Linked DNA regions of Cricetulus griseus. The protein of the gene in region 1 interacts with the protein of each later gene in a pairwise test. Links are inferred from orthologs where the notes say so. Each region holds a gene or a part of one and is shown in the gene's direction. Other genes may lie near its edges.

What was found.
Region 2: the proteins of Snca (region 1) and Usp8 interact in a two-hybrid assay, tested with the Homo sapiens proteins (2 studies listed by BioGRID, with this or other methods). The link is inferred for Cricetulus griseus from reciprocal best matches to the Homo sapiens genes SNCA and USP8.
Region 3: the proteins of Snca (region 1) and Tor1a interact in a two-hybrid assay, tested with the Homo sapiens proteins (2 studies listed by BioGRID, with this or other methods). The link is inferred for Cricetulus griseus from reciprocal best matches to the Homo sapiens genes SNCA and TOR1A.
Region 4: the proteins of Snca (region 1) and Sdf4 interact in a two-hybrid assay, tested with the Homo sapiens proteins (2 studies listed by BioGRID and IntAct). The link is inferred for Cricetulus griseus from reciprocal best matches to the Homo sapiens genes SNCA and SDF4.
Region 5: the proteins of Snca (region 1) and Prkn interact in binary tests that used the Homo sapiens proteins (3 or more experiments, as listed by UniProt). The link is inferred for Cricetulus griseus from reciprocal best matches to the Homo sapiens genes SNCA and PRKN.
Region 6: the proteins of Snca (region 1) and Arfgap3 interact in binary tests that used the Homo sapiens proteins (3 or more experiments, as listed by UniProt). The link is inferred for Cricetulus griseus from reciprocal best matches to the Homo sapiens genes SNCA and ARFGAP3.
Region 7: the proteins of Snca (region 1) and Arfgap1 interact in binary tests that used the Homo sapiens proteins (3 or more experiments, as listed by UniProt). The link is inferred for Cricetulus griseus from reciprocal best matches to the Homo sapiens genes SNCA and ARFGAP1.

What each region holds. Positions count from the first base shown.
Region 1 is NC_048601.1:81,915,809-81,919,863, forward strand, and holds the start of Snca (alpha-synuclein), read left to right. Parts: upstream 1-1,255; coding exon 1,256-1,376; intron 1,377-4,055. UniProt on the Homo sapiens protein: Neuronal protein that plays several roles in synaptic activity such as regulation of synaptic vesicle trafficking and subsequent neurotransmitter release.
Region 2 is NC_048599.1:51,763,963-51,766,345, reverse strand, and holds part of Usp8 (ubiquitin carboxyl-terminal hydrolase 8), read left to right. Parts: intron 1-113; coding exon 114-350; intron 351-1,187; coding exon 1,188-1,330; intron 1,331-2,383. UniProt on the Homo sapiens protein: Hydrolase that can remove conjugated ubiquitin from proteins and therefore plays an important regulatory role at the level of protein turnover by preventing degradation. Converts both 'Lys-48' an 'Lys-63'-linked ubiquitin chains.
Region 3 is NC_048599.1:142,681,273-142,685,465, reverse strand, and holds the start of Tor1a (torsin-1A), read left to right. Parts: upstream 1-1,393; 5' UTR 1,394-1,441; coding exon 1,442-1,622; intron 1,623-1,952; coding exon 1,953-2,218; intron 2,219-4,193. UniProt on the Homo sapiens protein: Protein with chaperone functions important for the control of protein folding, processing, stability and localization as well as for the reduction of misfolded protein aggregates.
Region 4 is NC_048595.1:303,830-307,382, reverse strand, and holds the end of Sdf4 (45 kDa calcium-binding protein), read left to right. Parts: intron 1-1,620; coding exon 1,621-1,779; intron 1,780-1,984; coding exon 1,985-2,160; intron 2,161-2,586; coding exon 2,587-2,763; 3' UTR 2,764-3,053; downstream 3,054-3,553. UniProt on the Homo sapiens protein: May regulate calcium-dependent activities in the endoplasmic reticulum lumen or post-ER compartment. Isoform 5 may be involved in the exocytosis of zymogens by pancreatic acini.
Region 5 is NC_048595.1:288,897,095-288,899,269, reverse strand, and holds the end of Prkn (E3 ubiquitin-protein ligase parkin), read left to right. Parts: intron 1-358; coding exon 359-471; 3' UTR 472-1,675; downstream 1,676-2,175. UniProt on the Homo sapiens protein: Functions within a multiprotein E3 ubiquitin ligase complex, catalyzing the covalent attachment of ubiquitin moieties onto substrate proteins. Substrates include SYT11 and VDAC1.
Region 6 is NC_048595.1:380,240,332-380,244,294, reverse strand, and holds the start of Arfgap3 (ADP-ribosylation factor GTPase-activating protein 3), read left to right. Parts: upstream 1-1,163; 5' UTR 1,164-1,273; coding exon 1,274-1,342; intron 1,343-3,963.
Region 7 is NC_048599.1:936,678-940,789, reverse strand, and holds the start of Arfgap1 (ADP-ribosylation factor GTPase-activating protein 1), read left to right. Parts: upstream 1-1,312; 5' UTR 1,313-1,333; coding exon 1,334-1,447; intron 1,448-1,726; coding exon 1,727-1,986; intron 1,987-4,112. UniProt on the Homo sapiens protein: GTPase-activating protein (GAP) for the ADP ribosylation factor 1 (ARF1). Involved in membrane trafficking and /or vesicle transport.

The sequences.
Region 1 (4,055 bases):
CTTCCTTTCCACTGCCACTGAAATAAGATCAGGGGCAGAGAGGAGGAATCTGAATTCTGCGAAGCCAAGGGCGCCGGTAAGTACCTGTAGATAGCAGCAGCTCTGGGGATCCCGGAGAACCCTGGCTAAGAGGAGTCCCGATGCCTGGGAGATCTCCAGCTGAGGCTACCTCAGCGGTGGGGACACGGCCAGTGCATTGAAAGTACATTACTTGGCTTTCCTCGCGCTAGAGACGTGCTCTTCCATTCTCCCAAAGCCCGAGGGGAAACCAGGCTGTTCGTGGCATCTGCTTTTTCGAGCGGAAACGCCAGGGTGTTTCGTGTTGGGTGCTGGGTCCTGGAAGCTGAGCGCTGGGCGTTGGGAGAAACCTGAGCATCCAACTTTCATCCCCCACCCCGGGCACGTTCTATCTCTTATCTGGAGTGTAAGGAGGCTACATTTGGCCAGTGATTAATAAAAGTGCCTAAGGCACTTGGCAACAGGTGATAAGGGGTTAATGAGCACGGGGGTGCAGGGTTTTCAAGCAGATTCCAGTTGAGGACAGGGCCCCCAGGTTGGGTAGAGCTGAAGTGAGCCGGCTCAAGTGTGTGGACAGCGCCTGCTCCGGGCAGATAACAGACTGGAGAGCTAGCAGTGGGTGGAAGGTCTTGTTAGATTTGAACAGCTGGGCTGATGACAGTTGGCGTGCTGTTCCCTTCATCTTGAAGTAAGCAGTTCCCTTCCTTCCCCTCTCCTAAGACTAAACACTTACTAACCCCTTTCTGAGTCCTTTTACCCTTGCCCCCGACTTCAGTACCCCCTTCCATTGGTTTTCTAGACAAGCTTTTTACTTAGAATGTCGCCTTTAGGCCCTGGGAACTTGATGGGGTAGAGTCCACCCATCTTGCCATGTAACTCCATTTTCCAGCTGCTGTAAGAATGGCCAGGTGATCCATCTGGATCCATCCCATCTTTAAGTGGCTTGACTCTTCCTAGATTTGAGTGAAAAAGCTGACAAGCAACACCATGCCCAGTCCTCAAAACAAGCAAGCAAGCAAGCAAACAAACAAACAAACAAACAAACAAAAAAAACGAGTGTTCATTTACACAGAGATTGGGGAGGGGGGGTCTCTACTGATTTTTCAGTGATTTCTTCCTTGATTTTTAAAAAAATTCTTCCCATTCTAGCTGCTTTAATCTTGTTTTCTTTTACTCAAATTTTTAATTCAAAGTGTATTGTGTATTCTCTAGAGTGGAGGAAAAGACATCTTTCGCCATGGATGTGTTCATGAAAGGACTTTCCAAGGCCAAGGAAGGAGTTGTGGCTGCTGCTGAAAAAACCAAGCAGGGTGTGGCAGAAGCAGCAGGAAAGACAAAAGAGGGAGTCCTCTATGTAGGTAGGTAGTGGTGCCGTGACTGATGAGTTGGAGTGGCTAATCACTCAGTGCTGGCATGTGGTGTCTGATTCATGCACATAGCTGCTTCTCAGGAGAGTGACAGGTATGTGGAGGTGAGAGAATTGTGAATCTGCTTGTTAGCTCTCAGAAACAAATGGGAACAATGTTTTCTTTCCTTAGAATACTTAATTTTATTGCTTACTTAGGGTTTTCCATGTTTCTGTGTGTGTGTGTGTGTGTGTGTGTGTGTGTGTGTGTGTGTGTGTGTGTGAGCACATTGGGATTTTTAAAACTGGCAACCCATGAAAAATAACTAAGAATATGCTTATGAATCAGACCCATTTACAGCAGCAGGATGGTGGCATGTGGAATCCCAACATTTGGGACATGGAGGCCCAAGGGTCAGGAGTTGAAGATCATCTTTAGCTACATAGTGAGTTCAGGGTCAGTCCAGTCTACATGAAATCCCATCACAAAACAAAACAAAACAAAACAAAACAAAACAAGAGGAGTCCCAGGCCCTCACGGGACTTTGGCTTCTTTCATCATCACCATAGATAATACTTGTTAATTGCAATTTTAAAAATAAAACTGTAGTATGATTGTATTTAATATCTGTGAAAATACACCTACTTTGGTCCCCCAATAGAAAAAAAAAAAAAGGCAAGTTGTTCTTAGTGGATCTCCCTTTTGAGATGAAGCTCAAGGAACCTCAGATGTGTTTGTGTAATCACCTGGATGATGCACACAGGAAAGAGCAAGAGGTTGATACTCGGTGCCTTTTGTGCCTAAGTGTAAACCTTGAGACAGAGGTCAACACTGTTTACTGGCTTTCCCTGTGTTAAACTGGTTGCACTTCCAGTACTTTGATGGAGGGAAAAGACATATATGTATGCATGCACATTCATCTCCAGCAGAGACCCAGGTGCACAAGGGAGCAAGGATGCATGACTCACCTGCCCCCTCTGTGCTTCTCTGAGCTTCCCTACCTTCTTAGGGGGCCTCTATCTCAGTAGAAGGCAAAGGGTCAACCTTAAGATGGAAATGGAACAGACAAGTGGCAGAGGTGACAGAGAGGCCACACACTGAGACTGAGACTTACCAAAAGTGGGAAGCTGTGCTGGCGCTCCAGCTCTAACTGATTAGTGGGAAAAAACCTTTCATGAACTTTCAAAGTTTCTAGCATATCACCTTTGCTCATTCCTCATAGATTGTTTTTATGTTGACTCCCTTTCCACCTCAAAACAACCTTTCAGAAAGTCTTGAAATGAATATTAAAAGAGAAAGGTGTGAGTCAAGTGCTTCTTTTGGGAACAGTGAGGTCAATGTTTTTGATAGAATCCAGAATATAAAATCAGTTATTTGTAGATTTTTCAGGGCCTCAAAGTCTCCCACATCCTGCAACTATAGACCCATGACTACATTTTTTAATTAGTTACTTAGTGAATGTTATCTTTCTTCTTTTTAGACAACTAGTCACCTAATTTTCTTTTTTAATTTTTTTTTTTTTTTTGAGACAGGGTTTCTCTTATGGTTCTGGCTGTCCTGAAACTCACTATTTAGACTAGTCTGGCCTTGAACTCACTGAAATCCACCTGCCTCTGCCTCCTGGTACTGGGATTAAAGGCATGTGTCACCACCTTCCAGCTAGAGCATTAATTTTAAGCAAATGTAGAAGTTACTGAATATTAATTTATTATTCTTTCTAGTTAATAAACAGATCTTATCAAGTAGAACACTTTCATGTTTTATTGTTAATTGTGAGTTTAGGCAAATAAAGTGATTAGATTTTTCAAAGATTAATTTTGTTGTTCACTGCGAGGCAATTATGTAAAAAGCATAATGTTTCAATAAGTCTAATGTTACTAAAATTATCAATGTTGTTATATTTAATACATATATAATTAATCAATTGCTGGTTATGTTCTGGAGTCTAATTAAAAGCTGAACGTGGGTGGTGGTGGCACATGCCTTTAATTCCAGCACTGGGGAGGCAGAGACAGGTGGATCTTTGTGAGTTTGAGGCCAGCCTGGTCTACAGAGTTCAAGGACAGGCTCCAAAGCAATACAGAGAAACCCTGTCTCAACAAAACCAACCAATCAAACAAACAAAAAAAAGCCAAACACATGCATAGAATTTACTATGAAAAGTGAGGTCTAAAGGTAAGAATTAAGTTAAGATTTTGGTCAACTTTTGTTAATTTTCAAACTTATTTCGGCCAATCTGTCTCAGATAATCAGGTCTACTGTTAAAGTGTGAAAGCAACCATGGGCAATAACCAGTGTGGTGCTGTTTCAGTTTTTATTTATCAAAACAAGAAGCTGGGGTTAACTTATAGGCTAGAAAAAAGTGAAAGGGAATTGGGCTATAACTTATCAAACAAACATAAATTTAATACAAGCTACATCACTTCTACCTTTAGGATCTTGAGGAAGTTAATGTCTTTGAATTTCCTTCCCTTTTCCACAAATAATGTAGTTCATAAAAGTACAATTCCTTTGCAGAGCTTTTGTGGAAATGTGTAACCAAGTGCACTTTCATATTTAGGAAACTTGATTTTTATTAAATAAGCTATTCCACTCAACATGATTTCCTCTTATTTTTCACCAAATATATAAAACTATCATCAATAATTAGCCTGAAGGATTAGAAATAATCTGGGCTACAATTTGTCTCAG
Region 2 (2,383 bases), on another chromosome or scaffold:
TCTTCAGTGTGGCTAAATCTGTAAAATGTCATTCCTTGAATGTCATATTTAACTGTCAATACCACCAAACTCTTAGATACTAACAGAACTGAGTGAGTTGTTCTCCTTCCTAGGCTGACAATCGGAAGAGGCATAAGGAAGAGAACAACGATCACCTCGATGACTTTAAAGCGGCAGAACATGCTTGGCAGAAGCACAAGCAGCTCAATGAATCCATCATTGTCGCACTTTTTCAGGGTCAGTTCAAATCCACAGTGCAGTGCCTCACCTGTCACAAAAAGTCTCGGACATTTGAGGCTTTCATGTATTTATCATTGCCGCTAGCATCCACAAGTAAATGCACATTACAGGTAAGTTTAAGATGAAGAGATAATGGGTTGGTAAAAATGTTATTTGTGTGTGCATAGCAAAATGCCTCATCCGCATAGGAAAATAGGTGAGCTACATCCTAGCCCTTGGGGATTTTTATTGTCTTACTATTTTATGTGTATGGGTATTTTGCTAGTACCTTTCTGGGCACCAGCTGCATGCAGTGCCCACAGAGGTGTGAACTGCCATGTGGGTGCTGGGAATTAAACCCAGGTCTTCAGCAAGAGCTGAGCCATTTCTCTAGCCTGTAGCCCTTGACTTTTTGAACTGGATCTTGCCATAAAGCACAGACCGGCCTTGAACTTGAACTGTTCCATCTGATTCTACAGTGCTGGGAGTACAGGCAATGTCGTCAGGTGCAGGCTTCTGACCCAGGCAGCATTGAATGCAGAGCCAGTGTATAATGGAGAAGCACTTCACCACTCAGCCAAACCCCCATCCACAAAAGTTTGCATTTTTAATTAGTTTTGAAAGCTAACTTAGGAAGTTGTAATTGACATTACCATAGATCTACTGTTTCGATGTACTTTACTTGGGGATCAGACATACTGGTTTCCACAGGACAGCAGTGTAAGTAATAGAATAGCTTGTGTTCATACCTCCAGTCTTCACTTCCTCCAAGTCCACCATACCCAGGATAGAGGTCCTTGTGTGTGCTATGCTGACCCTCTGCAACACTGGTGACGTCCCTCCATATCCAGACACTTACTCCACCTTCTGAAGGTGTCCGTGCGTCTGCAGCACTCTTACTGAAGAGGGCTTCCTGGAACTCCATGAGGAAGTAAATCACTGCTCACAGTGTGTTTTTTTGCCACTAGGACTGCCTTAGATTATTTTCCAAAGAAGAAAAGCTCACAGATAACAACAGATTTTACTGCAGCCATTGCAGAGCTCGGCGGGACTCTCTAAAGAAGATAGAGATCTGGAAATTGCCGCCTGTGCTGTTGGTACACCTGAAACGGTAAAGCCTCTGCTTGCGTACTAGCAGTTGATGGAGGAACTGTAATGTCTATGTAATCTGTGTTCTGGGTTGTTTTTTAAGGAAACCTAATGAAGATTCTCCAGCAATAATTAGTGGCAGATATGACAAGCAGAATAATAGTACTTGTTATTTTATGTTATTTCCTGTGATTCTGTTTCTTAAAAAAAAAATTAATGGAACTAAATTATTGCATTTCAGACAACAAAATTTTAAGTCACCTCAAGTGAAATGTTACACAGTGTAATTCCAAACAGATTACCAGATAAAAATTAACATTCAGGTGCTGGAGAGATGGTTCAGTTGTTAAGAGCACTAGCTGCTGTTGCAGGGGACCTAGGTTCAGTTCCCAGCACCTACATGGCTGCTCACAACTGCTGTAACTTCAGTTCCAGGTGATCTAGTGCCCGCTTCTGGTATCTGAGTACCAGGCACATGTATTGGGCATAGATATATATGCAGGAAAAGCATCCATACATATAAAATGATAAAATATTTTTTAGTTAATATCCAGATTATAAACTATAGCAAGATTAATTTAATCATGTATAACATGATGGCACATACCTGTAATTTCAGCCTTGTGTTAAAAAAATTATGCTTTTAAAAAAAAAGTGAGTACAAAATATGGCTGCATTAGCTCATGTATGGAGAACAGAAGTCAGCTTTCTCCTGCCTTTTTGGTTGTTGCTTGTTTTTTGTTGTTTTCCTCAGACAGGGTTTCTCTGTGTTGCCCTGGCTGTCCTCGAACTCCCAGAGATCCATCTGCCTCCAGAGGGCACTAAGTACAAGCATTCTTGTCTTGAGTCTAATCTAGTGGAAGGACAGGGTCCCACACAGCAGAGCAGAGCATTGAGAGCCATAGCCCCACTGCTCTTGTTTCTCTATAAAGAGACAGGCTCTTGCCTATATACCTCAGGTGAGCCATGACCCAGCCTTCCTTCCCTTAATGCCATTATAGGTGCACACCACCATACCCAGCCGGAGTCAGCTTCACAAGAAAACCCTAAAGTTTCAGTTTAGTTGTGAAGTATA
Region 3 (4,193 bases), on another chromosome or scaffold:
ATTCCAGAACCTAGGAGGTTGAGGCAGGATGATTGCAAATTCAAAACCAGCCTGCACTATATAGGAAGTTGAAAGATAGTCTGGAATAGTTATAAAGATTTTACCTCAAAACAAAGTTTGGGGCTGGAGAAATGGCAAACAAGTTAAGAGTCATTCTTGTACAGACCTGAGTCTAAATCCTGTCATCCACTGTTTCTCCCACCTCAAAGAATTTTTAAAATGAAATAAAACAAGAAGTAGAAGGTCTGAGGTAAAGCTCCATGATAGTGTTTGGCCCTGGGGTTCATCCCAGTGTCCCCCAAGTGTCTAGTGTTCCTCAAAACTCTCAAAGTCATTTAAAAAACAAGGCAAGTGTCGGAAGAATCCAAGAGGAGTTGGGGAATCAGCACTGTGGGGGAGCTAGATGGGTTCCCTAAGTAAGTAAGAAACTGGATGAACTGTGTGGGCTTTAATATAGTGGTTGGGGCGGTGGTGGTGCACGCCCTCAACCCAGCATTAGGTGGCAGAGGCAGGCGGATCTCTGATTTCGAGGCCAGCCTGGCCTACAGAGAGAGGTCCAGGACAGCCTGGGCTGTTATACAGAGAAACCCTGTCGGGGGAAAAAAAAAAAAAAAAAGCCGGGCGTTGGTGGCACACGCCTTTAATCCCAGCACTCGGGAGGCAGAGACAGGTGGATCTCTGTGAGTTCGATGCCAGCCTGGTCTCCAGAGCGAGTGCCAGAATAGGCTCCAAAGCTACACAGAGAAACCCTGTCTCGAAAAACAAAAACAAACAAAAATATAGTGGTTCATGGATTTTAACAAGTATAATATACAGATGTCAAATTTTTATTTCTTTAGAAAGGAGGCTCTCACGGTGTAACCCTGGCTGCCCCTAGAATTTGCTGTGTAGGCCAGGGTGACTCCAACTCAGAGTGCCAAAATACCCAGCCTTCAAATGTCTACTATGTATCTTTGGGTGGCCTCAAATTCGTTACAGATTCACCTGCCTCAGCTTCTAGAGTGCTGGGATTAAAGGCGCACACCACCCATAGCACCTTGACCAAATGTCAGATTTTAATAATAGGTAACCAGAGGTGGGGATGGGGTTGTCATATGGGAACTCATTATATTCTCACAGTTCTTATGTATTCATTTATACATTGTGTATGCCTACAGGAGTTTATGTGCACCTCATTAGATGCCTGCGTCATTGTTTAAAAACTGCCCTAAAATATTGTTATTTGATGAGGGTGGGGGAAGCAAATACACCTGACTCCTATAACCTCAAGGTTCAGAGGCAGGAAGAGCTTTACCCTTAACAAAGATGGCAGCCGCTACATTGGTTGGACGGCCTGCCCGAGACAAAGAGGGCTGTCCCGCAGGCAGGAACCGGAAACGCGCGTTGGGCGGTGCGCTGGGTAAGGTGGGCGCTGGGACGCGCAAGCGGCGCGGGTCCGGGCATGAAGCTAGGCCGGGCCTCACTGGCCCTGCTGCTGCTGGCGCCGTGCGCGGTTCGTGCGGTGGAACCCATCAGCCTGGGCCTGGCCCTGGCCGGCGTACTCACCGGCTACATCTCCTACCCGCGCCTCTACTGCCTCTTTGCCGAGTGCTGCGGCCAGAAGCGGAGCCTCAGCCGGGAGGGTAGGCGGGCACCAGGGACGGGCGCCAGGCGGCAGGGGGATGGTGCCGCGGCCAGGCCGGATTTTGGTCCGAGGCCTAAGAGATGAGTTGCCGGGCCCGGGGTAGGGTGTCAGCCCTGCGCGGAGCTCACCGGGGCGGCCTCACCGCGTCTCTTCCTTCCGCTTGGCTTTGGGAACACCCCCAAGCCCAGGCCTTAGGAAGGGCAGGGTTCGCCGCACCAGGGTCCTTCAGCGCTCTCCACACTAGGCTCGGGGCTCTGACAGCCTGGAAACGGGGCTTCATTTTACCTACTTGCTTCTCTCCTGACCAGAGTGATCTTTCCATTCCCAGCACTGCAGAAGGATCTGGATAACAAGCTCTTTGGACAGCATCTTGCAAAGAAAGTCATCTTAAACGCCGTGTCTGGTTTCCTAAGTAACCCGAAGCCCAAGAAGCCCCTTACCCTCTCTCTGCACGGGTGGACAGGCACGGGCAAAAACTTCGCCAGCAAGATCATCGCAGAGAATATTTACGAGGGTGGACTCAACAGTGACTATGTGCACCTGTTTGTGGCCACGCTGCACTTCCCCCACGCCTCTAACGTCACCCTGTATAAGGCAAGAGCATTAATTGGCCGCCTTCGTGGATGATGCGGGTTTGGGGCTTCTCTGTTGTGAGACGGGATGTGGGGATTCCACGTCAGTAAGTGAGCCTCGGTATGGCTCTTTGTATGTCAGTTCCTCTTTAAAAGGTGTGGACATAGCTGGCTGTGGTTATGTCAGCCATTCTGGAGGCGGAGAGAAAAGCTGGAGGAACTACAGTTGAGGATAGCCTGTGCAGTGCAGATCGTGACCGTGTTTCAAAGGAAATTGTCAAGGGCTGGGATAGCAAAGGGTAGAGCACTTGCCTACACCTGCATTCTGCTCCTGCCGCCGCAGTGGGAGTGATGGTGAATATGTAAGTTACAGAGGGTTTGTGATACAGAGCAATTAGACCACGAAAGTTTTATGGGTGACCTCTAGGCTCAGTAACAATTGGCTGTGGACAAGAGGGGCCATAATCAAATCCAACTTCAGGGTCTTCAGGTCCCACTCACATGGTGAAAAGGAAACATGGAGGTCTAAGTTTGCTTTGACTTGGCTGTTACAGCCAGCTTTTGGAGTTTAATTAACAGCCCACACCTGAATTCAGGTCCTAACTCTCCCCCACTCCAGCTAACCTTTCTCAGTTAACCTGAGAGGCACACTCTTGTTACACAAAATAGTGCTTTTGCCTTCTCTTGTGTAAAGTACACCCTCATACCTCCATACCCTCGCCACCCCCTGCTTTCTGTTAAACATCAGGGTCACCATGACTGTGACTTTGGGCAGTTCACCACCCCCCACCCCCGGGGGGTGGGGGGTGTTCTCTGTTGCCCTGGCTGTCCTGGAACTCACTTTGTAGACCAGGCTGGCCTTGAGCCCACAGAGATCCACCTGCCTCTGCCTCCTGAGTGCTGGGATTAAAGGGCGTTCACCACCACCACCTGGCTAAGTTTTTCAATCTCTGTACCTGTGATCAGCTGGGTGTTTTCTACACATCTGTATTCCCTGCAGGCTGAGGCAGGAGGATCACATGTTTGAGGCTAGCCTGGGCTACATAGTGAGCCTCTGTTTGAAAACAGGCAAGGAGAGGACAAATAGAGAAGAAAAAAAAATAGGGTCCCAACAGCATTTCCTCAGTAGCATTTGGTAGGTGGTTTAAAATGTTGCTGTAGTGGCCTGCACACGGGCTGTAGGAGACTGGGAAACCTTGTCTGTTGGACTCTAACAATTGAGTGAGTTCTATGTGAATGGTCACTTAGCTCATGGTGTTAGTAGGCCGCTCCGGGTTCCTCTAAGGCAGTAGGTCTCAATCTTCCTATGCTGTGACCCTTTAACACAGCTCCTCATGTTGTGGTGATTCAACCATAAAATTACTTCATTGCTACTTCATAACTGTAATTTTGCTGTTATGAATCATAATGTAAATATCTGATATGCAGGCTATCAGATACAAGAACCTGTGAAAGGATCATTTGACCCCAAAGGGGTTGAGACCCCCTGCTCTAAGGGGAATATGGTCCACATCTGCAGATTTGCTGCTTACATTGGATGCAAATGGAACACTAACCATGGTCACAACGAGCCAGAGCCAGGGGAGAACCCCAAGCAGATGTACAATGTAACTGCTAGTGTGTTCTTTAGAAAAATGCATAGCTGATTCCCTACCTCATCTCAGGAGGAGGGTGGAAATGCCTACAGATTGTGTAGAATTTCTGAGGAAAATGCTTGAAGAGATGTGTGTCTCACCTTGGTGGCTTAGTATGTAACTGGCCTAGGATGAGTAAGACCCTGATACCATTTTTTGTCATCTGCCCCACCAAAACACCAAATACAAATAAGAATTTTTTTTTTTTTTTTTTGAGACGGCTGCTCATGTGCCCATTGTTGCAGCCTGGGCTGGCCCTGAACTCTTATTATTTTAGCTTTTGTTTGTTTTAGAATTTTGTGTGCTTGGGAGTGTGTGCGCGCATGCATGCATGTGCACGTGCATGGGGGCCATAGGTCTCTG
Region 4 (3,553 bases), on another chromosome or scaffold:
CAGTGCTCTTAATCACTGGACAACCACTTTAACTTCTATTCCATTACTTTTAAATTTAGCTTTGGGCAAATTCTCAGGACAGTGGCAAGAGGCAGCCAGATTATTTGCCAAAATATCATCAAAATGACCTCTAGCCCAGTTGCTAATATTGTTTCCCTCTGAAACCTTTTGATCTGGGCTTCCACAGACAGTATTGCTCCTATCTTACTGTCTTCCAGGGTCCTACTATAATGGCCCTTTAAGCTCTGCTTATAGCATTCACACACCTTTTGAGTCTGAAATTCCTAGATCTCCCACATTCTTCCCCAAACCAACAGGTCGGGGTTCTTCATAGCACCTATTGTCTGTTGCCAACTTCTCTATTAGTCTTTTCTGCTATGATAAAGTATCATGACTGAGGCAACACACAGAAAGGACTTTATTTGGGCTTGTGGTTCCAGAGTGTTCAGAATGGTGGCAGGAGCAGGAAGTTAAGCTTGTATCTTAAACTTCAAGCATGAGTTTGAAGTGAGTGAGACTAAACATTTGAAGCCTGCCCCAAGTAATATAATTCCTCCAACAAGGCCTCACCTCCTAAACCTCCCAAAATAGCATTGCAAGGGTCATGTGTTCAAGTGCCCTAGACTATGAGGGACATTTATCATTAAAACATGTGTATTCACATCCTGACCTCAGCCCACCGAAGGGCCTCTGATTGCCTGAGGTGATCTGAGCACTTGGTAGCATTCTGGAGGGGTGGCTTTGCTTTATAATCTCCTTTGTATAATGCCACTTTTTTGTTTTTATTTTTATTTTTGCTGTTTGAGTGACAATCATTCAAATGAGCTGCCTACTTCAGCCTCCCAAGCAGCTGGGACTACAGGGTTCTGCCAGTGTGTCCCATTCTCCATTATTCTTTTGAAAGAGTTCTGTTAGTAAGGTTAGATTAACACAGGAAATACTATGCATGAAGACCACTTGGCCGGTCTGTGGTGATCAGGTACTTAATGGGTCATGGTGGGGCTGCTACAGTCAGGATGTAGCCCCAGAGTCAGACTCAGGACAATTTGGGTAAGTCAGTGAAGGCAGGCAAGGACACTTAGGGTTACTGGAGCTGAGCGACTTGGAAGCCTAGGCAAATAGGACATAGTCACTGACTGTGTTGAGTCCCAGATGGGGAAGGATTCATTTCTGCCCTGGGAACATGGGAGACGTGAGAGGATGCATAGGCAATCATTTCTAGAGTCCATGGGAAGTTTTGCTCACTACCTCAGTCATTTCTAGAAATTGGGTTTTCTGCATTCTATGCTCTCCGAATGATAATGCACATGAAAAACAGAGAAAGGAACAAAAGTGACACCTTTGTTCCTATAGACGTCAATAAGGGTGAGTCAGCCTCAGTCTTGATGAAATTTCCATTTCTGATGAGGAATAAACAGCTTGGAGTGTGCTGGGAAGGCAGGTTGGGCAGTATTCAGGGGTTCTGTTTGTCCCCTCCCAAGGACCAGGCTCTTCTAGGTGGGCTAGCACCCTTAGTCTTGAGCCTGGCAAATGACAGCCCTCTTGAGTTCAAGTAAAACATTGTGGGTGCTTGCATTAGTGTCCAGCATGCCTAGGTATTCACAAATGTGCCTCTCGCAGCACAGGAAGTCCTTGAGAACCTCAAAGGTCGCTGGTATCAGGCCGACAATCCACCTGCAGACCTGCTGCTGACTGAGGAGGAGTTCCTTTCATTCCTTCACCCTGAGCACAGCCGGGGCATGCTCAAGTTCATGGTCAAGGAGATTGTTCGGGACTTGGGTAAGGCGTGTTCCCACTATGACACTGTTCTAGGCCTGAGGGTGACCAATGGGCTGGGAACACTACACTGCTGCAAGGGGTACCAAGCCCCAGGATAGGTGGGCTTGTCCTGTTTTGATTTCTAAGGAAGTTCTTCAGTGGTACTCAGTGAGTTTTAGGTAAAGCCCAAGGTGAACACTACCTCCTTCCAACCCTTTATCTGTAGACCAGGATGGTGATAAGCAGCTGTCTCTGCCTGAGTTCATCTCCTTGCCAGTGGGCACTGTTGAGAACCAGCAAGGCCAAGACATTGATGACAATTGGGTGAAAGACAGGAGAAAAGAGTTTGAGGAACTGATTGATTCCAACCATGATGGGATTGTGACCATGGAGGAGCTGGAGGTGAGTAGGGGTGCTTATGAATGTTGGTGTGTTCCAGGAATGACCCTGGGTTTGGAGGCGGTGGGCTAATCCTACAGTAAGGTCCCAAAGTAAAGGGGGCTTGCCTACGTGATGACCTGAGACAATGGGCATTGGCGTTAGTGCACAGACTGAAGAGATGGGAAAGTCTTGTGAAACCTGCTGACTATGGGCTATTGGCCTTTAGAAAGCAACTCCCTAGTTTGTAGAAGGCATCTGGGAATTGGTTTTGGTGCTCAGGATGAAACCCAGGACCTCTAAACATGCTAAACAATTAATTGTTCTATAACAGAGCTACATCCTAAGTGACCTCTGGGCTAGTATGTAGGTGTGGGGGCTGTGGGCACAGGGCCTCTCTGTTGGTAGGGTGTCAGGTATAGGCCACTGACTTATGTCTGGATCTCACAGAACTACATGGACCCCATGAATGAATACAATGCCCTCAATGAAGCCAAACAGATGATCGCCATTGCCGACGAGAACCAGAATCACCACCTGGAGCCTGAGGAGATTCTCAAGTATAGCGAGTTCTTCACTGGCAGCAAGCTGATGGACTATGCCCGCAATGTGCATGAGGAATTCTGAGCATGCCCCTCAACCCTCAACTGGGGCCAGGCCACCAGTCTCCTGTCTGACCCTTCCTATATCTTGAGGGAGAGGCCTGTGGTCTAGTGAGACCTGTGGTTGACTTGGGTCCCAGGGTGGTTCTGAAATGCTCTACCTACCCTGTGTCTGGGAACTACCATGATCCCTAAGAGTGCTGTCCCAGAACCTTCTTTCTTCTGCTGTGTTCGTATGCTCTGGCTCAGCCCCTGCCACAGCATGGCCCAGACTTATTAAAAATGTGCTTAATAGGCTATGTGTCCTTTCCAGCATGTGTCTGAGGCAGCAGCCCTTCTGTACCAGTTATAGGCTAAGCTATATTTGCTTGATCAAATCTCTCTCAGTTGCTAACATTCTACTTCTGAGAACTGTTTGGGGTGTTTGGTTCAGGTGAAGGTCTGAGTTAGGCCTCTCCATGGGCTTACAACATTGTGGGAAATAAATGCAACTCTTACAATTTCCATGAAAACTGGAAGATTAACGTAAAATTAGATCGCATTTCTCTGGAAGTAGTCAGCCCCACAGTTTTGCAGGTGTTATCTCTTTGGTAAGGTCTGGTAGACCATGGGGGTAGGATCTTCCTCAAACTCCTCAGAATCTTGCAGGATCCCATCCTCTCTTGTGAGGAAGTACAGATATTTGTTGTCACAAGAATTGTTACTTTAAAATAGAATTGCCTTTTTCTCATGGTTTTTCTTTCTTTTTTTCTTTCTCTCTTTGTTTTGTTTTTCAAGACAGGGTTTCTTTTTTTCTTTTTTTTTTTTTTTTTCTT
Region 5 (2,175 bases), on another chromosome or scaffold:
ATTTGAAAATCATGAGTTTAATATGGCTCTATTTTTTTTTTTTAATGAAGAATCAGCAGGCTGTGAAACACACCATTTATGTCTGAGCACATGAGGGAAAGATGAGAAACTCAGACTGTGAATGGGATTTGTTCTGAAGGCAAAGAGCCCTTTGTCCATGTCATTATCTTATCTTTTCTCACTTGGGGGAGGGGGATGTTGCCTCCTGTTGTTTCTGATTATTCCCCCTGGCTCAGAGTCTCTCTGCCCTCCTTGCTGGGGATTTTTGGCTACAAGAGTCATTTCTGGGATGGCATGGGGGCAAGGGCTCCCCGTGTTTGCCACAAGCCCACAGCACCTGTATCCTTTGTACCCACAGGAGGATGTATGCACATGAAGTGTCCACAGCCTCAGTGCAGACTGGAGTGGTGCTGGAACTGCGGCTGTGAGTGGAACCGAGCCTGCATGGGTGATCACTGGTTCGACGTGTAGACAGACACTCAGGCACTGCCCCTGACCACACCTCCTTACGGGAAACACGTGGACTCCTGCCTTCTTAGCCATTTCGTCGTCTCTGGGCATATAAGCACATACAATGCACACGCACAAACACAGACTGCAAATTACAGACTCGGCCACTAGATCCTTTCCACAGGCACCCACGGAAGCCAGCAGCACCCACTAGGCACCCAGTGAGAGGCACTTTCGGGCCTCTGGCATATGCAACTATCCAACACTGGGAAGAGAGTGTAGCCCCTTGTTTTGGATTTCTCATCCCAGCAGGAATCCAGCCCTAGGGAGGGCTTTTCCAGGTTTAATTTCCCGACTTCACCTTCACTAAATCCATGTAGAAGCCTTAGGCGAAGCCACAGCTCTCCAAGGCTGTTGCCACGCTCTGTGTAAATTAGACTGCCGTGGAATCTCAAGAGCACACTCGAGATGTGAGGGACAGTGTTCTTACTCAGCAATCACCTATTCCCAGGGGGCCCTCCCCGGCAATAGTCAAAAATATTTGTTTATCCCCAAGAATCCTATCTTTATAAATGGTGCTGATGAGATGACAGCTCGGCGGCATACAAATCAACTTATCAACCAAGTGAGAAACTGGAAAACATAATTTGAATGCAGACTGTTTAAATTACAGTGAGGGCATCAAAGTGGAACCTACTTCCACTCGCTTAATTACCTGCAACTTTAGAAAGAAATTACTCTTTTTTTCCTGAAATTATTGCAAAGTCTGGAATTTGGTTTGAAGTATTCATATTGCAGCCTGGAAGTTTAGCCCATGCATTTGTCTTCACTGTGAACTTAATAGAAAAAGTGCCTATAAAGGGCATGTTTTTAGAAACAATCCCATGATGCTATTCCAACGCTAACAGCAGTGCAGGCCGGGTTTATATTTATGGAATATTTATAGAAGCGGCATTTCTAGATCAGCCACATGAGAACATGCCTGACCCTCCATCAGAAAGGGAGACACCTCTGTGTACTTACCCCCTAAGTCCCAGGGAGTCCCATGCACCCAGTGGTCCTACAGGCAGAACCTTTTGCGAAGGACAATAAACACACTAGAATATTCCTTAGGTAAATACACATCACATTTGAATGTTAAGTTTTCAAGATTTTATTTTTTCCTGTTGTGTTTCGTTTGGTTTGGTTTGTGAGGCACTCATAACACATAAAGCTGTTTCCACTAGGTACTGTGAGATGCAGTTTCTACTGCACCCTGTGCACAGGGGTGAGGCGTGGTCTCTGCCTTTCCCTCTCATTTGATTTTCTGACTTCTCAGGAGGCTGAGCTGGCAGCTGAGGGTCTCACTGGCCCCTGAGGCCCCTTGGGACTTAAGAGGCCTGAACCTTCTGAAATCAATAAGTAGATACAACCAACAGAATCCGATGCTGGTGGGAGAAGAGGCAGTGACCTCAGAATTTTCAGGTCATATCCCAAGAGCACCTGCTCCCCCACCCCAAGCAGCCTCACCCAGAACACTCCCCAGGAGCAGGCTTCCCTCCCCTTCCTCAGAGACACAGTACTGGAACAAGGCAGTAGTGTGAGAGGGGGCCACACAACATGACTTATCACCAACTGCTAGAAAATCCATCCTCTCCTTCATAATCCAGGGCTGCCAGACCCAAGTCCAGAAGCCAAAGATCAGATGGAAACGATGCTATGGTATCTTGTAGTGTGAGGCGAGGA
Region 6 (3,963 bases), on another chromosome or scaffold:
CCTAACACCCAACTGTTCCCACCCTGTCTGGATGTCCTTTCTCCTTACTACTGTCTTTTTGATCCATGTGGGGGTTTTTTCTCGTTGTTTTTTGGTGTTTTTGGTCCAGCTCTGAGCTAATGAATGTACAGCTTTTGTGAGGTCCCAACTTCCCTGAGGGTGTGTAGACAGGCAGGGAAAGTATTCCCAACTTCACACCAAGTCCCTTTCCAGAATGTCGTGGAAGCTGCTGTGCTGCTCCAGTCAACACGTTTCATCTCCAACTCCTTCGTCCAAATGAATGCTAGGAAATTACTAAAGCCACGTGGTTGAGAAGCAGCCAGCTGAAACGGGAAGAAGCTGGCGCATTTGACACCCAAACCTGTTTTTCTTCTATTGTGCCCTACCTGAGGCAATGTTTGCCAGCTGCTCCACGCTGGCTGGCCCTTGTAAAAGACACCTGCTCCCGAGCTCAGACCTTCTAGCTACTAATGTTATCCAAGGTTTAGATGGCGCCCCAGGCACTAAACAGGATTCTGATCTTTCTAGACTTAGAATGTTCTGATCCCGACAGAACCTGTGGCCTAGAGGCGGGCACTTTCTCTCCATTGACCGAACAGACAATTTATAATTACAGGATTACCAAACCGTTATGGCACAGTGCAGACCTGTAATCCCAGAACGCAAGAAGCCGAGGCAGGAAGATCTCCAGTTCAAGTCCAACCTGGGAACTAGACTAGCCTAGCTTCACCGGAGAGAGAAAATGGAACAGCAGTTTCCAGCACAGACTTTCGTTCAGTGTTTGGCTTGAGCTGAGTACAAACGTTTCTCCACTGTTTCTCTCCAGGATCCCGTGAGGATGGAACCCGCTGGTTCTGACACCCTGTAGGAAGGATGTGAGACTGTCGCCGTGGGAGGAGCCGGCAGCGAGATGCTGGCGAGTCCGGTAGGTAAGCGCGGTGCTCCCTGAGCAAAAACTGGCGTTTCTGCTCCGCACTGTGAAGGACCGAAGAAGAAGAAGGGGGGGCGGGCGGGGGGCGAGCGAGCTTCCGCGCATGCGCCTGCCGCGCGGGCCTAGAGGTTAGAACACAGAAGGGCTCACACTGTGGGCCGCTGGAGCGTCAGAGCGAGGGAGAACTGCGCGTGCGCCCGCTTTGTGGGCGGAGCCCGGGCGCGGCAGGGGCGTGGCCTTCGTCACGCGCAGCCCCTCCCCTCGGTCTCCGGGAGGCGGCAACCGCTTCTCCTTGTCTTTTCCCGGTTGTCGGGGACTGCCTCACCTTGTTTTTCGGTGACCATGGGGGACCCCAGCAAGCAGGACATCCTAGCCATCTTCAAGCGCCTGCGCTCGGTGCCTACTAACAAGGTAACAGTCGCTGGCGAGCTCGGAATCCCGCGGCTTGCTGGACCCCGGTGTGGCCACTGCCGTGGGAGGAGCCGCCCGGCCTGTGACACGTCGCACTGTGGGCCTGGCAGCCGCTGCTCCCCAACCTTCGCCAGCGAGGGGCGGGAGAAGGGGCGCACACCAGGGGCTTGGCAATGGAGTACGGGGTCCAGTGAGAGCTGGCCAGAGGCCCTAGCCGACAGGGAGGACTTGGGACATGGGCATCTGGAGAATATACAGAAGCGAAGGGCAAAGCATCTGGGGAGCACAGAGAGGGCTGGGGCATGGACATCTGGGATGTCCACCACCTGAGGGCAGAGTGCCTGGGGGTAGTTGGAGATGTCTAAGGCAGGAGACCAGTGCGTCTAGGGGCACAGAGAAGGCTGGGGTATGAGCCTCTAGGAGTGTCCACTATCAGAGGTCAGTACCTGGGGGCTCAGAGAGAGCCGCTTCTTGGCATCTGGGGGCACCTAGGTCTGGAGACCAGAGCACTTTGATTCAGAAACACAGACAAGGTGAGGTGGAGGGAGCAGTGTGTCTGTCTATCCGTTAGATAGTTGGGCTCTGAGAAACCTGGGGAGACATATACTCTGCCTCCCGTGACCTAAGGGTGAATACTACAGCCACCTAGACCCATGGGGAAGCGTGTCTGAGGGTCAGAACACTAAATGTTCTGGGCTCTGGGATAGGACTTCTCCCCACCATGAACCTTGTCTTGAGTGTTGTTCAGGGCTGGGGACCTGTTGGATACTGGTCCCAGTTGTCCTTTGTTAGCATCCCGTTTCCCAGCTTCTAAGCTGCCAGCTTTCTGTGTGCCTATGGAAGTCGTCAAAGTTCACCTTCATCCCTTTGGAGGTTGAGGGTCACCTCTCCAATTTTTTTTTCTTGTAAGTGCCCCTACCCCACCCCCACTATAGTGTATAACTTTTAGTGTGTGGCTGGCAGTGTTGTTATGATACACAGGGTTAAGGTGACCACTTCCCTAGGATGACGGAGTAGGGTGGAACCTGCAGAGTACAAAGGGCTGTCGTGTCACTGTGGACTCTCCCCACCCCTCTTGGAGTTCAGTCTGGTCTCCACCTCTACCTCTAAGGAAACATCTGTTAATGAGCACAGGCAGGAGTCCTGAATTGACGGCATAGAAAGTTCCAGCGTTTTTTACAAAATTCGGGCATTTTAGGTCTTGGCATAGAAAGTTCCAGCATTTTTACAAAATTCAGGCATTTTAGGTCTTGATGGTGGGAGTCCTAATTTTTATAGCCTTCTAGTGAAGGAAATGGTCAGTTAGGGGTGATAATGTCTGGTGGGTGTAAGAAAGAGGAGACAGCTTCCAAGCACTGTCCAGTTTGTTGTTACTTTGCTATTTTCTTGATTTTTTTCAAATTTAGATTGATCTGTGACTAGTAAGGACTTGTTATCACACACAAGATTGGATCTGCAGCTGGCAGGGTGGAAAAATACATATGTTACTGCTTTCTCTTCTAATCACACCAATATGTAGTCTCTTTAAATTCATCAAAAAGATGCAGCTAAATAAGAAAAATAAAAAGCAAGAAATAACAACAAAAGGGAAGAGGCTCCTTTTAAAGAGCCAGTGTTAGGATACCAAGAGATACTTTTAAGAAACCCACGTGGGCTTGCTTGCATATTAAAATTTAGTTGGCCGTGGTAGCACATGCTGTAACCCCATCACTTGGGAGGTGAAGCCAGGAAGATCAGGAGTTCAGGGGCAGCCTCTGCTACATAGCAAGTTCTGGCCTGCCTGGGCTACATGAGACTATATCTCAAAAAAGTTAAAATTATTGCCCATTGGCATAATGGTACACGCTTACAATCCCAGCTCTTGGGAGGCTAAGGTAGTTGGATTTCCAATAGTTAAAGAACAGCTTAAGCTACAGCTCTGAAGCACATTCCTTGTCCTCTTCGAACTGTATTTTGTTGTCTGAGAATGTGGTTATGAACTGGATCTAACTGAAAAGATGGCTGTGAAGATTAGATTAGGTGATCCAAAAAAAGCCTGGTGTGACATTAGTCCACATGAATACAGCCATTGTTTCCATTTCATTCTAAAGACTATACCTGTGGATATAGTATGTTCTGTAATATGACTTCTTTTTTTGTTTTTGTTTTTGTTTTGTTTTTTTTGTTTGTTTGTTTTTTGAGACAGGGTTTCTCTGTGTAATAGTCCTGGCTGTCCTGGAATGTGCTTTGTAGACCAGGCTGGCCTCAAGCTCACAGAGATCCACTTGCTTCTGCTTCCCGAGTACTAGGATTAAAGGCGTGCGCTACCACCATCCAGCTTGCAATATGATTTCTTTTTTTATTTTATTTATTTTTATTTCATGTGCATTGGTCTTTTTGCCTGCATGTATGTCTTTGTGAGGGTATTGGATCCCCTGGAACTGGAGTTATAGACAGTTGTGAACTGTCCTGTGGGTGCTGGGGATTGAACCTGGATCCTCTGGAAGAACAGCCAGTGAATGTTCTTAACTGCTGAGCCATCTCCCCAGCCACTTAATATGATTTCTAAAGCAAAATGCCAAAGTAGCTTCTGGTCATGTCTCATGGCATTTGGCTCTCTTTTATTTGGCTTGAAGCCATGA
Region 7 (4,112 bases), on another chromosome or scaffold:
TGTAAGCTCTAGATGTTTCTTCAGCTGACCCTGCTACCCTTGTTGGGAGCCACCAGACCCTCTGGACCATGCTGGCCCACATCATTGAGGGTCTGCGCTCAAGGCTCTACCTACTTCTCTGCTATTTATGTTGCAGTGTCACATGGGCCTGGCATGATCATCACAATAATGGAGAACCACCATGGTGGCCTACAGAAGACTGTGGGCCTCAGCCAGATCAACAAAATAAACAGAGCAGCCCAATGACGGAAGAGAGGAGTCACAAGACCTTTACTCAAGATTCCAGCCACCAATGGCGGTGGTGGTGTCTAAGTATATAGGAGGTGGAAGGTTGAGCCATCATATCTGGCTTAATTTTGGTCTTTATGAGCTTTCTGTCCTCTGTGTTTGGCCATTGAATACACCCGTAGAGGGCAGGTTATCTGTGAGTTCAGGAACACCCGGTCTACACAGTGACAGTCTATCTCAAAAACAACAACAACAACAACAACAAGCAACAACAACAACAAAACACCATTCTATGAAGCTGGGCAGGGTGTCTCATGCCCTTAATCTCAGAACTCAGGAGGCAGAGGCTTACCTCGAATTCTAGGCTAAACGGGGCTTCAGGGTGAGAGCCTGTCTAAAGTCACCAAATCAGGCTGTGGATAAGTCATCTAAGACTACATTTTTCGTTATTCTATTTATACAAAGTTCTGAACCTGTGACACAGAAACTCCAACAGATGTAAGAAGGGACGCATTGTCACTGATGGCGGTACAGGTGCCAACCGTATGTAGGTACTATGCAGGCAGGTTTGGTTTGACCTCAACAAAAACATTAACGCTTGGTTAATCTGAAAGGCAAACGAGCCAGTCGGTGGTGGCGCACACACTCGGGAGGCAAAGTCAGTCGGATCCCTAGTTCGAGGCCAGGCTGACAGCCAAGGTTATAGAGAAACCCTATCTCGAAAAACAAAAAAAACTAAAACTAAAACAGAAAAGAAAGTCAAGCAGCCGGTGAGGAAGTAATAGGTGGCACAGAGAGGCCCCAAGTAAACACAAAACTAAAAAACACCAGCAATTAACGCCAGTGATTTGACCAGAACAGCTGGCCCCAGTCTATCTTAAACCCTGGTCCGCGGTTCGAGTTGACAGTGGCCGCGGGCCGCCTTGGCTCGGGTTCAGGCTTGGTCTGCGCCGGGGATCCATGCGCTCCGCGTTGCCATGCGGCACAGGCCACGCCGGAGCATCCCTGCAAACTCAGCGCGCGGCCCAAGGGTCCGGACAGACCGGAAGACAGGCGCGCTTCGGAGCTCACGCAGGAGGCGGAAGTAACGTCTCGCAGGCCTCCCATGAGCCCTTTCGAAGCGCGACGTAGCCGGAAGCTGCTGGCTGCTGGTGGGGGGGACTCTGAACACCCAGTCCAGCCTGGCAACTCGGCTGGCCCGACCCCCGGAGGGCAGCAGGTGAGCTCGCGGCCGGGACACCCGGGACCCGCGTACCCTCCGTTCCCTGACCTTCCGGTTCTCAGATTACCCGGTCCCTGGTCCTCTAACCCTGGGTTCTGCGGGCCTAGGCCCTGGTCCCCCAACACCCCGACTGTCCGACACCCCCAGTCTTCCGCCCCGACTCCACGGCTCCCGCCTCCTCCCGCGCCCCGTCCCTCCCATTCCCTAGCTTCCTGGCCCCGGACTCTCCAGTCCCCCGACCCGTGACGTTCCCGTTCCTCGGACCCCAAACTCCAGGGTCCCTGTGTGCGGCTGCCCATCGCCGCGGCCGTCCAGACCCCTCGGCCTCTGAGCCTGCTGCTCTCCATCCCGAGGCTTCGCGGATCTACGTGGCCTCTCGGCGCTCTCGGACGGACGCAGACCGGTTCCGCACAGCCCAGTGGGCCGGGAAAGAGCCGCTGGCGGCTCTACACTTCAAAAGAAGATTCTGTCCAGAGGCGCCTGGAAGCCAGACCCCCTAGCCTCAGCTGGTTGATCGTTCCTTTTTGGCCTTTGAAGTGAGTACCCTGCTGAAGAAGGAAAAATAAAAACCAAACCAACAGCAAAATCCCCCAAAGGACCAGGCTTCTAAACCTTTTCTCGGTTTTACCTGGCTTTATTGCTTATGTTTGTCCTCTTAAGGCAGCACAAGTCAGAAATAATTCACTGTTTCAGGCTTCATATTTCTGTGTTTGCAGCAGTGGAGCCTTACCTGTGGTCCTGGGCAAGGCGATGTTCTGAAATAACCTGTTCTTCAGAGCGAGGAACCATAGCTTAGACAGGGTTCTTCGTGTGCCTTGAGCAGTTCTGAGAAAGACAGTATTTCTCCTTGTCACCCATACTGTAGCCTTAGGGCCAAGCTATGTTCCCAAACATTCCTTTTGACCTCAGAGGTTCATCATGTCCCAGTTTAAGAACCAAATGCTAGGTAGTGTGACCTGTAGCTTAGTAAAGCCTGAAAATATCCTTATTTGCTATTTACTGGTTATGTCTACTTGAAGGAAGATTATTTTGTCATTTTTTGATTTCAGCTATTAGGAAGTCTTAGGGGTGGGTGAGATGGATTACCAGGTAAGGTACTTGCCACCAAGACTGACTACCTGAGTTTGATCCTTGGAACTCATATGGTGGAAGGAAATGACTGACTCCCACCTTCGAGGCTTCTAGGCGTGTACTGTGGACACATTATGCACACACCCAAGAAAGAAATGTTTAAAACATAAAAAATGGATTGTTGGGCTGGTGAAAGTGAGGAACTTGTTTTCATGTTACTAACAACATTTAAGATAAGTAATCAGTAGTCGGGAGGTGATGACACACGCCTTTAGTCCCAGCACTCTGGAGACGGATCTCTGAGTTCAAGACCAGCCTGATCTATAAGAGCTAGTGCCAGGACAGCCTCCAAAGCCACAGAGAAACCCTATCTCCACCCCCCACCCCCCAAAAAAGTAATTACTCACTAATACCCAAAGTTTGTCACTCAGGGCAGTTTCTTAAATCCAAGCCAAGCGAGGCATGGTGGCACACACCTTTAATCCCAGCACTTGGGAAGCAGAGGCAGGCAGATCTCTGAGTTTGAGGCCAGCCTAGCCTGGGTAGTGAGTTCCAGGATAGCTAGGACAATATAGAAAGACCTGTCTCAAAAACAAAGAAAATCCAAGCCAAATTATCTACTCCTCCCCCCCCCCCCCCACCCCATTTTCCTTCATAGCTCTGAATGTCCCTCTGCTTTATTTTACATAGTCAGAACTTCAGAGTAGTTTGGTGAGATGCTGACTTCTTGCCTATGTTTGCCTCTGTTGTGTAGTTGTAAGCCTCTGAGGGCAGGCACAGTGCTTTGGATATCAAGACTGAGTACAGAAACCTGCATTGGTCTTGATGACAACTGTTCCTGTAGCTGTTGGAGAAGAATGCAAAGGGCTTTGTAAACTCAGATCTTCCAGTGTTTCCCCCAAAGCCCTGAACTGTCTGGGGGTGTGCATGAGTAGATGCCTGGGGTGCTAGCTGTTCTGCCTGAATGAGTCATGCCAGGGCCTGCATCCTACATGCAGGAGTCTGTGTTTGTGGTTTTAGGATGTCATTCTAACACGCAGTTAACACAGTAAAAGGAAGCTAGAGTGAACTAGGATTTCGTTTCAAACAGTTACATAAAACAAATTATTTCCTGACATCTGACAGAAGGGGATCCTAGTCATGCTAAAAGATAGACACTTCAAGATTCAGGAGAATTGGTGAGTTGAGAGTCAAGATTCCCTTTACTGAACACCATATTTCTTCAGTCTTATTCAAAATGAAATACAGTATCTAGGACAGGGGCTTTTTGTTTGTTTTGTTTTTTATGTGAACCACATGAATAGAAAATGGTCAATTTTCAGTTTAACAGCAAGTAAATAGCAAGGTGAAACATCAAAAACCTGTAGCTTCTTTCAGAGAGAGGACTCACCTGTTTTGTTTGTTTGTTTGTTTTATGTGTGTTGCTCTGTGAGTTAGAGGAAACAGCATGGCTCTATTGGGGTGGATGAGCTCTGGAAAGACCACAGCTGACTGGTGGGCTAGCAAGGGGAGTGGCTAGAGGCCCCGTCCTGCCTCCAGTCTCCTCAGTGCTGCTGTGTGCATTAACACTGGGATTAGTTTATGTCCAGCC